Daphnia pulex: one gene and its partner. The protein of the gene in region 1 purifies or fractionates together with the protein of each later gene. This does not show direct contact. Links are inferred from orthologs where the notes say so. Each region holds a gene or a part of one and is shown on either strand. Other genes may lie near its edges.

Evidence for each region. The genes of interacting proteins can lie anywhere in the genome.
Region 2: the proteins of uncharacterized protein LOC124201900 (region 1) and heat shock protein 60A-like purify together in Homo sapiens (affinity purification with mass spectrometry, with the first as the bait; 3 studies listed by BioGRID). This does not show direct contact. The link is inferred for Daphnia pulex from reciprocal best matches to the Homo sapiens genes AMBRA1 and HSPD1.

The regions. Positions count from the first base shown.
Region 1 is NC_060025.1:57,899-64,061, forward strand, and holds the start of uncharacterized protein LOC124201900, read right to left. Parts: upstream 3,517-6,163; 5' UTR 3,359-3,516; intron 3,163-3,358; 5' UTR 3,131-3,162; coding exon 2,906-3,130; intron 2,838-2,905; coding exon 2,779-2,837; intron 2,710-2,778; coding exon 2,526-2,709; intron 2,451-2,525; coding exon 2,269-2,450; intron 2,200-2,268; coding exon 1,992-2,199; intron 1,927-1,991; coding exon 923-1,926; intron 862-922; coding exon 758-861; intron 674-757; coding exon 375-673; intron 310-374; coding exon 11-309; intron 1-10. Other genes in the region: uncharacterized protein LOC124201901, read right to left, coding at 5,662-5,990, 6,053-6,158. UniProt on the Homo sapiens protein: Substrate-recognition component of a DCX (DDB1-CUL4-X-box) E3 ubiquitin-protein ligase complex involved in cell cycle control and autophagy.
Region 2 is NC_060021.1:6,595,385-6,601,752, reverse strand, and holds heat shock protein 60A-like, read left to right. Parts: upstream 1-2,757; 5' UTR 2,758-2,863; intron 2,864-3,049; coding exon 3,050-3,217; intron 3,218-3,285; coding exon 3,286-3,621; intron 3,622-3,679; coding exon 3,680-4,038; intron 4,039-4,098; coding exon 4,099-4,444; intron 4,445-4,502; coding exon 4,503-5,024; 3' UTR 5,025-5,178; downstream 5,179-6,368. Other genes in the region: protein scarlet-like, read left to right, coding at 1-30, 93-323, 396-531, 604-709, 777-1,044; 10 kDa heat shock protein, mitochondrial-like, read right to left, coding at 1,776-1,916, 1,980-2,141, 2,200-2,202; elongation factor 1-beta-like, read left to right, coding at 5,997-6,076, 6,194-6,368. UniProt on the Homo sapiens protein: Chaperonin implicated in mitochondrial protein import and macromolecular assembly. Together with Hsp10, facilitates the correct folding of imported proteins.

The DNA.
Region 1 (6,163 bases):
CTAAATTTACCTGGACTCGAAAGAACGAGCTCTTTCAAAGGCATCTCTTCTGGCTCGCCAATGGCGGATGCTGTGCAGGACATTAGAGGCCCACGGCCCGCCACGGGATGATACGCTGCTATCACTAAAACTGGCCGTGGACGCACCACCGCCGTCGATCAAACTTTCTCCAGCGGCCGTGGAACCATCGTTAGTTGGATTGCCAATGCCGTTGGCTACAGCGGCTTCGTTCAGCTGGGCCAATATGCCCATTGTCTGACGCTGAAGTCGGAAATGCGACTCTAGACGCTCCATCAAAGGACGAAGTGACTGGAAAAAATGGCAAAAATAACAAATTAATCCACGACAATTTCATTATAATCAGAGAATGTTACCTGATCGCCGGAACGTTGTCCAGTTTCCAGATTGACTGGAGCAGTGGCTTCCGATGTCGAATGGTGAGTCGACAGGGATCTCATTTGGTTTTGAAGATTACGCCCGTGGAAAATGCGGTTAAGCAGTGAAGGTTTTCTTCTCTGGATTCCCAAATGGCGGGCGTGAAGTAGCGAGTTGCTCCTGGGCGAGATGTGTGAGTTGTTGCGACGAGTCATCCGAGAGAACCGAGATCTTCTCCAGCCAACCGAATGACTCGATCCACGATCCAAACTCGGCATCACTTCATTGAATGCCAAATCTTGACAAAATTTAAAAGAAACAACACAAGAAATTAGAATAAAATTTTCAAGTTCTAATAGGTAATAACGTTTACAACACCCACCAATTTCCATGGAATAATCACGAGAAGTTCCCGGCTGCGGGTCAATTTGTTCAACCGGATTGACTGGGGGCGAACTAGGAGCACTCTGATAAAGACTCAATCGCCTGTAAAAACCCAACAAAATGGAATAAATTGAAGCCACAGCTAATTTCAATAGAATTTTACCGGATGGGATATCTGGTGTCTCTTCCGGCAACAAAATTGCGTCTGAGTCTCGGTTCATCGCGGTGATGTTGGAGTCCAATTCGACGCAAACGGCCAAACAAATAATTGGCGAATCGGCGGCACTGAACGGGCGAATAAGCTCGTGATCCCAGGACCATTCGCCCGCTGCTGTTAAACTGGAGATCGCTTTCAAGGATAGGGCCGCTGTTGCTGCTCCCGGCTGTCCCTCCTGTTTCACGATTAGCAGCGAGGGCATCAGTAGATTGACGTTGACTAGAGTTTGGGCGGTCAATCGATGAGGACGGGCCGCTCGTTCCAGTTGGAGTGACGGGATTCGTCCGCAGTCGAGAGACAAGGTCAAGACTGTCTCTGACGCAAACTTGAAGGTAACGAATTTGTTCCCTAAGATCCTCCAGGATGCGCCGGATTTGCTGGAGTCGATAGACTTGACGCCGGTGCCGAGTCATTTCCAGGTGAGAACGGCAAATGCGCTGCATATTCTCAATGTGTCGACTGAGGAGCTGAATCCTCATCCGGGCATCTTGATCCAGCGAAGCTCCACTTGGCCTGGACGAGCCTTGATCTCCCGTTCCAGACGACTGCGATTGATTGGTGTTTAGAGTGCGACCGATATTGCTGAGGGCTCGCAGGTTCTCGGCCGCGTTCATGAGCGTGCGCCAGAACCTGTCGCTGGACGAAGAGGCGCTCAATAGAGACGCTTCAACGGAAGGGGTGGGAGCGGGCGGAGGGGGAGGAGGACTCGTCCGGCTGCTGTTACTAGTGGACGGTTCAACAAGGGGAGCAAAAGAAACGGTAGAAGGAGTTGGAGCGACAGTAGCAGATGGTGGAGGAAGAGGAACCTCGCTATTGATATGAACGGAAGTTGTTGCTGCTGAGGGTCCAGTACTCTGACTAGAACCGGAGGCGTTAAGTTCCAGTTCTGCAGCGCGATGGCGAAGTTCCTGATAACGAACTCGTAGTCTTTCGTACTGGTCGAGTAATGTCTAAGCGAAAAAATGATTGAAACGTCAAGTGATGAACCAGCTGTAAAGAAACCAATGACACTCACCTGATAACGACTTTGAAGGTTGCGTTCACGTTCTTGTTCATTGCGCTCGAGTCGGTAAGGTATAGGATTCGGGACTTGAGCAGGGCCTCCTAATGTCGAAGGACCACTTGAGAGAGACGAACTTGCACCGGACACAAAGGCAGATGTGCCAAAAGTGTTGGATATTCCAGTGAGTAACAAGTTACCCAAAGGGTCAAAACTGACATATCTAAACAAACAAAGGGGAAGTTATATTCATTGAATTAGTGATGAATAATGAGACTTGTGAAGAAAATACCTGAGTTTCTGCTTCTCATTGGCTGTACTACATTTGGCAAAGGGTTGGGGAATATTCCAATCCCAGAAATACAAGGTGCTGTTGGTGGCTATGACAAGAAGCCTCTCACTTGGGTGAAAGCAAAGCGAAGCAATCACTGTGGTCACTTCTGTGGCTGTCACTGACCACATTTCACTCCCACCCTAGGTGGATGGTAAAGAACAGTTCTCATGAACAAAGGAAAAGTGGCTTCATTTTAAAGAATAAAAAAACCTTACAGACAAATCCCAAACACGAACTTGCCCTCCAAGGCATCCTGATGCCAGAATGTCATTGCGATGAGGATGGAAAGCAATGCACCAAGGGGTACGGGGATGTCCAGTCAAAGTGGAGATGCATTTATTAGTCCTTAGGTCAGTCACATTGATGTTGTGATCACCATGTGATGAAGCAACCTTGGAACTGAAAAAAGGGTGACAGAATGATGATTTTAGTCTCTCTCTTGAGGTAGACATTTGTCAATTTACTTACCCATCCGGACTGAAGACCATAAGAAATGTAGATCTTGGATTCCCTGGCAAAGTACAACACTGTATAAAAGGGATAAGAAATTTTAGTTTAAAGGCAACATTTAGAATAACATTAAGTAAACAATTACTGTTTCTCTCAGATCCTTTTTCAAAAGATTTTCTTCAGCAATGGCTTCAAGCTTCTTGAGAATGGTATTTTGGTTGTGAGTCGGTAGCGAAAGGCTCCTGTCATTCAACAATTTGTGCAAGTGTTCACGCCTGGGGTTTTTGACATCTTGCTGAACTTCAATAACTTCATGATCTTCTTCATCTTCTGACTCGATGTTGAAGACAGGCAAAGGAAAACTGTCCATTTGCACAGAAAGGGAAACCAAGTCCTTTAACCCTGTAAAAATCAATTCAGAAATATATTCATCAGTTTAACTCTGACTGAAGAATTGTGCCCTTGGTAACCAAATGCAGGAAGTCAAAAATAGTTGGAACCAAAATTCTTAAGGGAAACAATGGGGTTCTAAACTTCTAATCCTTAGCCTCTGGTGAAGAGGAAAAAATGTGAAATCAAGATCAAAGTCTTGCCATACCATGAATTGATCTAAACACAATGAACACGTCGATGAGTACAACATAAAAAGCAAGAAGAAATCAAAACTTTCAGTTAATAATAAGAATCGAAGTCGACAAATTTGGCCAATAAAAGATTTTGGCAAGACAGATACGACGGTCATCTGGCGGTCAAACAACACACTCCTACTCAGATCTCGCCTAAAGAACTTTGGAATGATTTGAAACTTGATTTTTTTAAATTATGGCAATTATGGAGTGCTCCGGGTGCTGCTACATCTTTCCAAGTCATCGTCTCAGCAAATGTGGTCTGAAAAGTTTCTTTTCGCTACAAGAGTCACGAAACAATTATTACACCTAACAGAATAATGAATGAATTACTACGAATGACGATGTTGTTTTAGCCCATTGAACAGGATAAGAAACACGGGCAGCGTTTCAGTTTTAAAAAATGGAATAAAAACATCTTTGTGATATTAACTATGACGGGATGTCCAACAGTTGCGTCTAAATTAGTTTGTAAAACCCCAAATAAAACTAACAGGAGGTACAAAAAAAAATGCATATGAGAGTCAATATAATCGGGTCTAATAATAGAGCGTGAACCTCCCACACGTCTGCGTTACAGACAAGGACCAAACGCAGAGGGGAAATCCCCGCTGAAGCTGCACATGCAATGCACGTGACGGCCAGGAACAAAAGGAGGCGTCAAGGAAACAAGAATTGCGATCTATAGGAGGCACGTGACACGTTCGAAAATGAGGTTATGTAACCACTTTTGAGGAAATCCAATCAAGAAATTGAATAACGCGGTGTTTCTTCATTTCTTATATTCACCAAATCATTTCGTCTACATCTGCACGTGCTAAAGCGCAAAAGAATACAAATTATACGAAACGAAAGATGAGAAACAACAAAATGGCAAACCAGGAAACTTATTTGTTGAATCGGAATGGAAGGAAACCGCAAACATCGCACGCGCTACACTCGGATCGACGAGTGGATAGTTTGTGATTTTTCAGGTAACACACCCCGGCACAATACATCATCAATGTTGACTAAAATCAGTGCAACAACTTCCAAGGCGTACTAAACGTATCATCTATAATAAATGGCAAAATTAGGCAAAGTTTCTGCAGCTCGAATGTTTCTACTGCTGTATTCACGATATAGTTGAATCAATAATTCACATCTGCGTACTTACGTCGGGTTTTTATTGCGCCATTTCTGTTCCAACTGTTGATTCCAACTTTGTTTATCAGCCTTTGTTTCCAGAAATGGGCGTCAATGTCGAGACAATATATATTAATATTTGGCTGAGGGATGACGCTCAATAAAACAACCTACAAAATGGTATCAAAAGTTTCGCAAGGTATAGGACTCAAGATAAATGAATACTTTGTTTTACCTAAATTAAAACTGCTGACAATGGCCTCTATTTGGCTGGTTAATCAGATGTCAAAAGAAAATGTGGTTTTCATTTCTAGTGGGGTTTCCAATTTGATGAAAAAGATAAATATTAAGTAGCTTGCAAATTGCCAGAAACAAATTTTCTAAACAGACCATTCTGAAAAATTGCAGGTTTTTCATTCGTAAACCACGATTCAAGTTAGCTAGCTGAACGTTTTGTAAACACGAATTGTATTCCTGAGTAACCTGTAGGATAGACAGGAGTGACCTTAATTTTGCTTAAGAAATAATTGAAAAGAAATACTATGTTACTGAGCACCATGTGCAAATTATGCATCAATTGTAGTATATTTTCCCCTAACCAAATAAGAATCTTTGCATAATGACAAGCAACAAGCTCAGCTCTATTTTGATTGTTCACTGAGTCAACAACACTCGATAGACTGTAAGACACCAACAAGATTTTACTTGGAAGGATGAAAAATATTACCATTTTGCGAAGAAATTAACCAGAATCACGACAGCCAACATGACATAAGGTTTGTTTTGATTTTGAAATGAGTAGCCGATCGACGCCATCTATTAACAAAAATTAAAACAACCAAGGAAAATGGTTCCAATTTCAAATCAGCCAAGGATCTGAAAAATGTATCGAACAAACGGGCATCCTTTTTTTGATGCAGAGTAATAAATGCTAGTATATTTTTCCAACTACGTTAGTGTATAAATCGTGTCAGCCTAATGATAATAATAATTAAGCAACGTCTAATAAGTGACTACAGTAAACGATGAAACGTTTATTCGTCTGTAATGTTTTGTTAGATGACAAGTTCTCTGTACTTGGTACACATGCGTCAGGAAAAGACAAAGTCCGTGCCGTTTGATTGGCAGTCATGAAACTGGTGGTCGTCGACTATTCAACATCGTTCTGGGCCGAATGATTGGTAATATCGGTGCGTTCATTGATCGAGGCGGCCGATGTAGCGGCGACAAGGACTTTGAAAAAATCCTTCCTCCTCCCTGTTTGATCGATGCCAAAATCAATCCAATAATCGTAATTAAATGCCGCAGCAATAAATGATGAATGAATGCTACTACGTATGTTTTCTTCGGCTTTGGCTTGCTGCGCATTGACCAAGTTGAGAAACAGGGCCCGTTTCGCCCGTTGGTCCAGCTCGCCATTGGCCATCAATTCCGTCCAATTGATCGAGGCCGTCTCATCCGGGCGACGTCTTTCTTCCACTGGCAAGCGAATCAAATCATTCCAAACGAAAATTCAATCCAATAAAATTACGAGAAATTACCCAATGTCCTTTCGTGGTGGATGGCCACGGCTTTCGTCGTGTCGATGATTAAAATCAGCGGGAAAACGAGTAAAATCAGATGAGGCGGGAAATTTGAAATTCCCATGTTGA
Region 2 (6,368 bases), on another chromosome or scaffold:
GTCCACACTTTACGAATCCTCCAGAAAATCGTACGCTAAATTGGCCAAATAATATTCAATTCTAATGATTAATTGCTGTTGGATATTCGCAGGCTATCGCTCTCCTAGCTGGACTCTGTTTTCACGGCGTACTCGGTACCAGAGATCAAAAGACGATTCAAAATATCCAAGGCGCTTTATTCATCTTGACGACTGAAAACACCTTTCCGGCTCTTTACGGGGCGCTTGGTATTTTCCCGATGGAATGGCCGCTGTTCTTGAGAGATGCAAGAGGAGGACTCTATTCACCCTCTGCTTACTATCTCTCCAAAGTGGTGGCTTTGGTAAGTCATCGCCATTTTTATTCAAAGGAAAACGTTTTTTTTTTCTCACGTTTCTTTTTTCTAATAATGCAGATTCCAGGATACGTAGTCGAAACTTTTGTTTTTGTTTCGATTGCTTACTGGCTGATGGGATTGAAGCCGGAAGCCGGAGCTTTCCTTTATTCTTGCTGGGTTCTAATCGTTACTTGCAATACTGCCGCCGCTTGTGGTTAGTCATCTTCCATTGTTTCCTGCCTTTTTAATTACAGTTTATAATGAACACGATTATGAAATCCATTAGGAACGTTCTTCTCAGCAGCGTGTGAATCTATTGCAGTGGCCATAAGTTTCCTCATTCCATTTGACTACATTCTTTTCATCACTGGTGGTGTGCTCATTAGTCTCAGGTATTGCGAATCATCGTTTCATAATTAAGGGGGCTCGTCTAATTAAAACCATGTGCATTGTTGACAGCTCACTGCCGGAATACGTCTCGTGGACCAAGTATCTTTCCTGGTTCCTCTACACAAATGAAGCTCTTTCTGCTGTACAGTGGCAAAATGTTACATCCATTAAATGCGATGAGTCAAATTTCCCTTGCCTACATAATGGCCAAGAAGTCATGAAACACTTCAGTTTTGATTCTAGTCGTTTTTCAGTAGATATTACTAGCATGCTATTTATTTATTGCACTTTTCATTTGCTTGGTCTGATGGCCATAGTCAGGCGTTCACGATCCTAATTTTCCTTCACGAATTTAATATACTCAAATAAATATACAAACTAACAAGAGTAGATCTTTCATTATATTACTCTCTCGTTGAAGTCCACATGAAATTTACTACACACCGCATACAATTCACAAACTTATTATTCGTTGCGTTTCCATATACATTCTAGTTAGACTTTGGACAAATCATTCCCATCCTAATGTACATTCACCTTGAACCCTCAAAACCTTTTAGTTTCTCCTTTATTATCAAGTTATTAATTACACTCAACCCTTGGTGTCTCGCCTAGTTTGGTCTCACGCTCCGAAGTTTACCTGGATTACGAGGATCGCCTGCCATTTTATACCGGTAACGCAAAGCGATCCAAATGATGCGAGTAACTTTTCATTTCTTGAAAATGCCTATCTCCGATCCAGTTAGTCTTTTTGGATACGCACACGCAATCCAACGAAATCAGAGACAATCCATTTATTACTAATAATCTGGATCATATTATTGAAATGTTTTCCCTGTTATAGAAATGGTAACAACAAACTCGAGGTTAAATTTTATGTTGTTCCCTGAAAACAAGATAAATATAGACTAAATTGTCTTTGATTAGAAGTAATGAAATGCAAAGGAATTTAACAAAAGTGGATTTTTTATTCTCCTAAACTGCACATGATATAATGACTACCATACAAAATCTGACGCCCAAATATTCCCATTCATTCAATTTAACAGGGAAAAGGATTTATATCAATTATTGTTCAATCTTGGCCAACAAATCACTCTCACGGAATAGGTGGTATTCTTTGTCTTCAATTTCAACTTTTGTGCCACCATATTCGGGAAGCAAAACATTATCACCAACCTTCACAGCAAGGGGAACTAAATCTCCTTTCTACGATAACAAAAACAAATCATTAGACAATTTAACAATGGTTGTTATCAAAATTTACCGTACATCTGTTCGAGATCCTGGTCCAACTGCAACGACTGTGCCTTTCAGAACTTTTTGTTGAGCCTTCTCGGGAATAACAATTCCACCTCGTGTTTTAGTCAAGGCCTCGGCCCTTTCGATCAAAACACGATCGAACATTGGGATAAATCGTTTCAGTGCGCCTGCCTAAAGAAACAATATTGATAAATTAACTATAAAAACAGGCAACTGAAAAACTGTTTACCATTGTAATTTTTGTTGATGGGTGAGTGTAAAAACTACGTGTTTCTCGTCAACCGGCAAGACTAGCTCTGGCGAAGTTAACGTGAAGTAAAGAAAATGAGCGTCTGCTGGAAGCTTACATAAGCCACGTGGTTCTAGAATGTTCCAACAATGTTCGATATATCAAAACTGCTTCATGGGTTGTGTTTTAATTGCTTTTGAATTTTTTAAAAGTCAATTCAACTATGATAAATTTTTTTCCTTATACCAGCAAGTACTTGAAACTAGCATTGATGCATATTTTTTTACTTTTATTAGATTGTTCTAGAACAAAGGAACTGGTTTTTCTCTGGTTTTTCTATGCGCATCGGCGGCACATTCTATTTTCACGAATAAATGCGGTTAACCGACCTTCATTTAATGTTGTGTTCACATAAATAGATTATTTCTTCCATTAAAAAATACATTTTTTTCAAACTAAATATTATTTTAATTTTTTATTGCAACATGCACTTTAAATGGGTGATCATATGGTGGTGAATCGGTGATCTCGAAGTTTCCGCAAGCACATTTTTATTTAGGCTAAGCGCACGCTCGTCTTCTGTTTCACATTCAGTCTTACTATCGTCGGCAAGCGTTGCACGTGGGAACTACTCAGCTACATTAAAGTTTAATTCACCTAAAAAGTAAGTTTTGGACGTTAATTATCATCTGTTAAAATTAGTAGATGTCAATAGTCAGTTCCTCAGTGTTACCGGCTTAAAATATGGATTATTTAAGTCTTTTTTTCTGTTAAAAGTTACCAGTACATAGCGTTAGCAGCGTGTTATCCATTATCTAACAGATCTGTAACTTTTTTTATTACTTTAGAGATGTATCGCCTACCAAGTCTTCTGAGAACAGCAGCTCTTCGCCAGATCGCTCCTCAAGCATACAGAAATTATGCTAAAGATGTTCGATTTGGAGCTGATGTACGAGCCTTAATGTTGCAGGGAGTAGATGTTCTTGCTGATGCAGTTGCTGTAACCATGGGTCCCAAGGTAATTTCAAAATTAGATTTGCACTTCAATTCGGACTACCACTTACAATTTGTTGCTTCTATTTACAGGGACGTAATGTTATTCTAGAACAATCATGGGGCTCACCTAAAATCACTAAGGATGGTGTTACTGTAGCAAAGGGTATCGAATTGAAAGACAAATTCCAAAACATTGGGGCCAAGTTAGTTCAAGACGTAGCAAATAATACAAATGAATCTGCTGGTGACGGAACAACTGCTGCAACAGTCTTGGCTCGCTCCATTGCTAAGGAAGGATTTGAAAAGATAACAAAAGGTGCCAATCCTGTTGAAGTTCGTCGTGGTGTCATGCTTGCTGTTGATGCTGTTATTGAAAACTTGAGAGCCATGTCCAAACAGGTTACTACTCCAGAAGAAATTGCTCAGGTAACTAATGAGACAATTCATTTTTGAATTAATGTTAACTGGAATTCCTTTCGTTCAGGTTGCTACCATTTCTGCTAATGGTGATGAATCAGTTGGTAAACTGATTTCTCAAGCAATGAACAAAGTTGGACGAGAGGGAGTCATTACTGTCAAAGATGGAAAAACTTTGATTGATGAACTTGAAGTCATCGAAGGCATGAAATTCGACCGTGGTTACATTTCACCCTACTTTATTAACACAGCAAAGGGCGCTAAAGTAGAATATCAAGATGCGTTGGTCTTGTTGAGTGAGAAGAAGATTTCTTCCATTCAATCCATCATTCCTGCTTTGGAACTCGCCAATCAACACCGCAAACCCCTAGTCATTATTGCGGAAGACATCGATGGCGAAGCTCTTAGCACTCTTGTTGTTAACAGGTAAAAGTTTCTTACCTACATTTTTTAAAGAAATTGTAAATTAACGAAAGTGTTTTTCAGACTGAAGATTGGACTCCAGGTAGTTGCAGTTAAAGCCCCAGGATTTGGCGACAACCGCAAAAATACGCTTCACGATATGGCCAATGCTACAGGTGGCTTGGTCTTTGGTGATGAAGCAAATCTCGTCAAGCTCGAAGATATTCAGCTGCACGACTTTGGTCAGGTTGGAGAAGTGGTTGTTACTAAAGACGACACTCTGTTGTTGAGAGGTAAAGGCCGCAAAGAAGACATCGCCCAGCGTGTTACCCAAATCAAGGATCAAATTGCCGAAACAACATCAGAATACGAAAAGGAGAAGCTGCAGGAAAGGTTAGCCAAACTCGCCTCTGGAGTTGCTGTCCTTAAGGTATAATATTCTCTCAATAAAGCTCCACGGGTCATTTTCTAATGTTTTAATTCTTTAGATTGGTGGATCAAGCGAAGTTGAAGTGAACGAGAAAAAGGATCGTGTTAACGATGCACTCTGCGCCACCCGAGCTGCCGTTGAGGAGGGTATCGTTCCTGGTGGCGGAACTGCTCTACTTCGCTGTATTCCTATTTTGGACAAGCTGTCCTATGCAAATGAAGATCAAAAAGTTGGCATCGACATTATTCGTCGCGCTTTGAGGATGCCTTGCATGACTATTGCTAAAAACGCTGGAGTTGATGCTTCCGTCGTCGTCTCTAAAGTTATGGACTCTGAAGCTTCCATTGGTTATGATGCCCTCCGAAATGAGTACGTCAACATGATTGAACGCGGTATTATTGACCCTACTAAAGTTGTCCGAACATCTCTTACTGATGCCGCTGGAGTTGCATCCCTCCTCACAACAGCAGAATGTGTTGTTTGTGAAATCCCCAAAGAAGAGAAGGCCGATGGCGGCATGGGAGGAATGGGCGGAATGGGAGGCATGGGTGGTATGGGAGGTATGGGCGGAATGATGTAACGTCCCAAATCCAAGTCAATTTCTGTTCCAACCTTTCATGTTACTTACCTTCTTGATTGTAGTGGTGTTGTCAAGTTGTATAGCGGTAATTTTGGAGATTTTCATTCCTCTTGTTTGACATCCCAGTTTATGTAATCATGTTACTGCTGTTCAATCTTGAGTCATTCATCGATCTGGAAGGCACAATTATCAGCTCTACAGCGTAGTATTGGACACGTATGAATCACTCGTGATAGGAGACACTACTGTCGTTTTTTTTTCGTAGTAAATCATTATAAAGTCTTACTTTCTAAAAAAAAAAAAAAAAATACATGAACAGTTTTTTGTAAAACCTTCTATGTTTTTGAAAGAGAAGGAAGGTAAAGGGTATAGTTTGGGTTGAATCATCTGGAATTCATCGATAAAAAATTGCTAAATAAATTGCAATGAACGTAAAAGTTAACAACTGACGTTTATTCGGTTAAATTTTGAAACAAATTACATAAAATATTTCTAGTGTAGTTGGATAAAATAACCAATCTCAGGACAAGGACTTTACTAACAAATGGTCGTTTTTCAATTAAAATAAAACAAGCCCTTCCTAAAGGGTATCATAAAATGACCTTAAGAATTCAGATTAAAATTGATGCAGTCATTAAGTTTTGCGCAAGCACAACGAATTGAAAATGCACATTGCTCATAGAAAATATGATTTCATTCCAAATCAGTAATGAAATTTCTGAATTAAAAATTAATTGTTATAGCTTTAAAAGTGCATTAAACTTTAACGTGTCCTTGAATTTTCCCGTAAAAATTCGCATTTCCCTTCCCTTTTACTGCCTGGGGGATTTAGGACGACGGTGGACAAACGAACTAAAATATTTAGCTATCTGGCAACACGTAACCGTCTCTCTTTGGTGTCTGCCATTGCCGAATCGCGTGTCAATTTCTACCCTCAGTCGGTTTCTTCCTTTCAGACCTGATAAAATAATCATGGCTTTCGGCGATCTTAAAACTGAAAATGGTGTTAAGGCCCTTAACGAATTCCTAGCCGATAGAAGTTACATTGAAGGGTAAGTTTTTCACTTTATTTTAAGTATGTGTTGCCGGGTACAATAGAACTGTTTCTTGAGCATGCTTTCCGTTTCGTTATATCTAAAAATATGTCGATGTTATATTCTTGTGTATAGATATGAACCGTCTCAGGCGGACGTGACCACCTTCCAAGCTTTAGGAAAGGCCCCTGCCAGCAGCTTCCCACATGCTCTCCGCTGGTACAACCACATTAAATCATTTGGGTCTGAAACCAGCAAATTCCCAGGTGCCAAATCTGCTGCTGCAGCCCCAGCCAGCAAACCAGCCGAT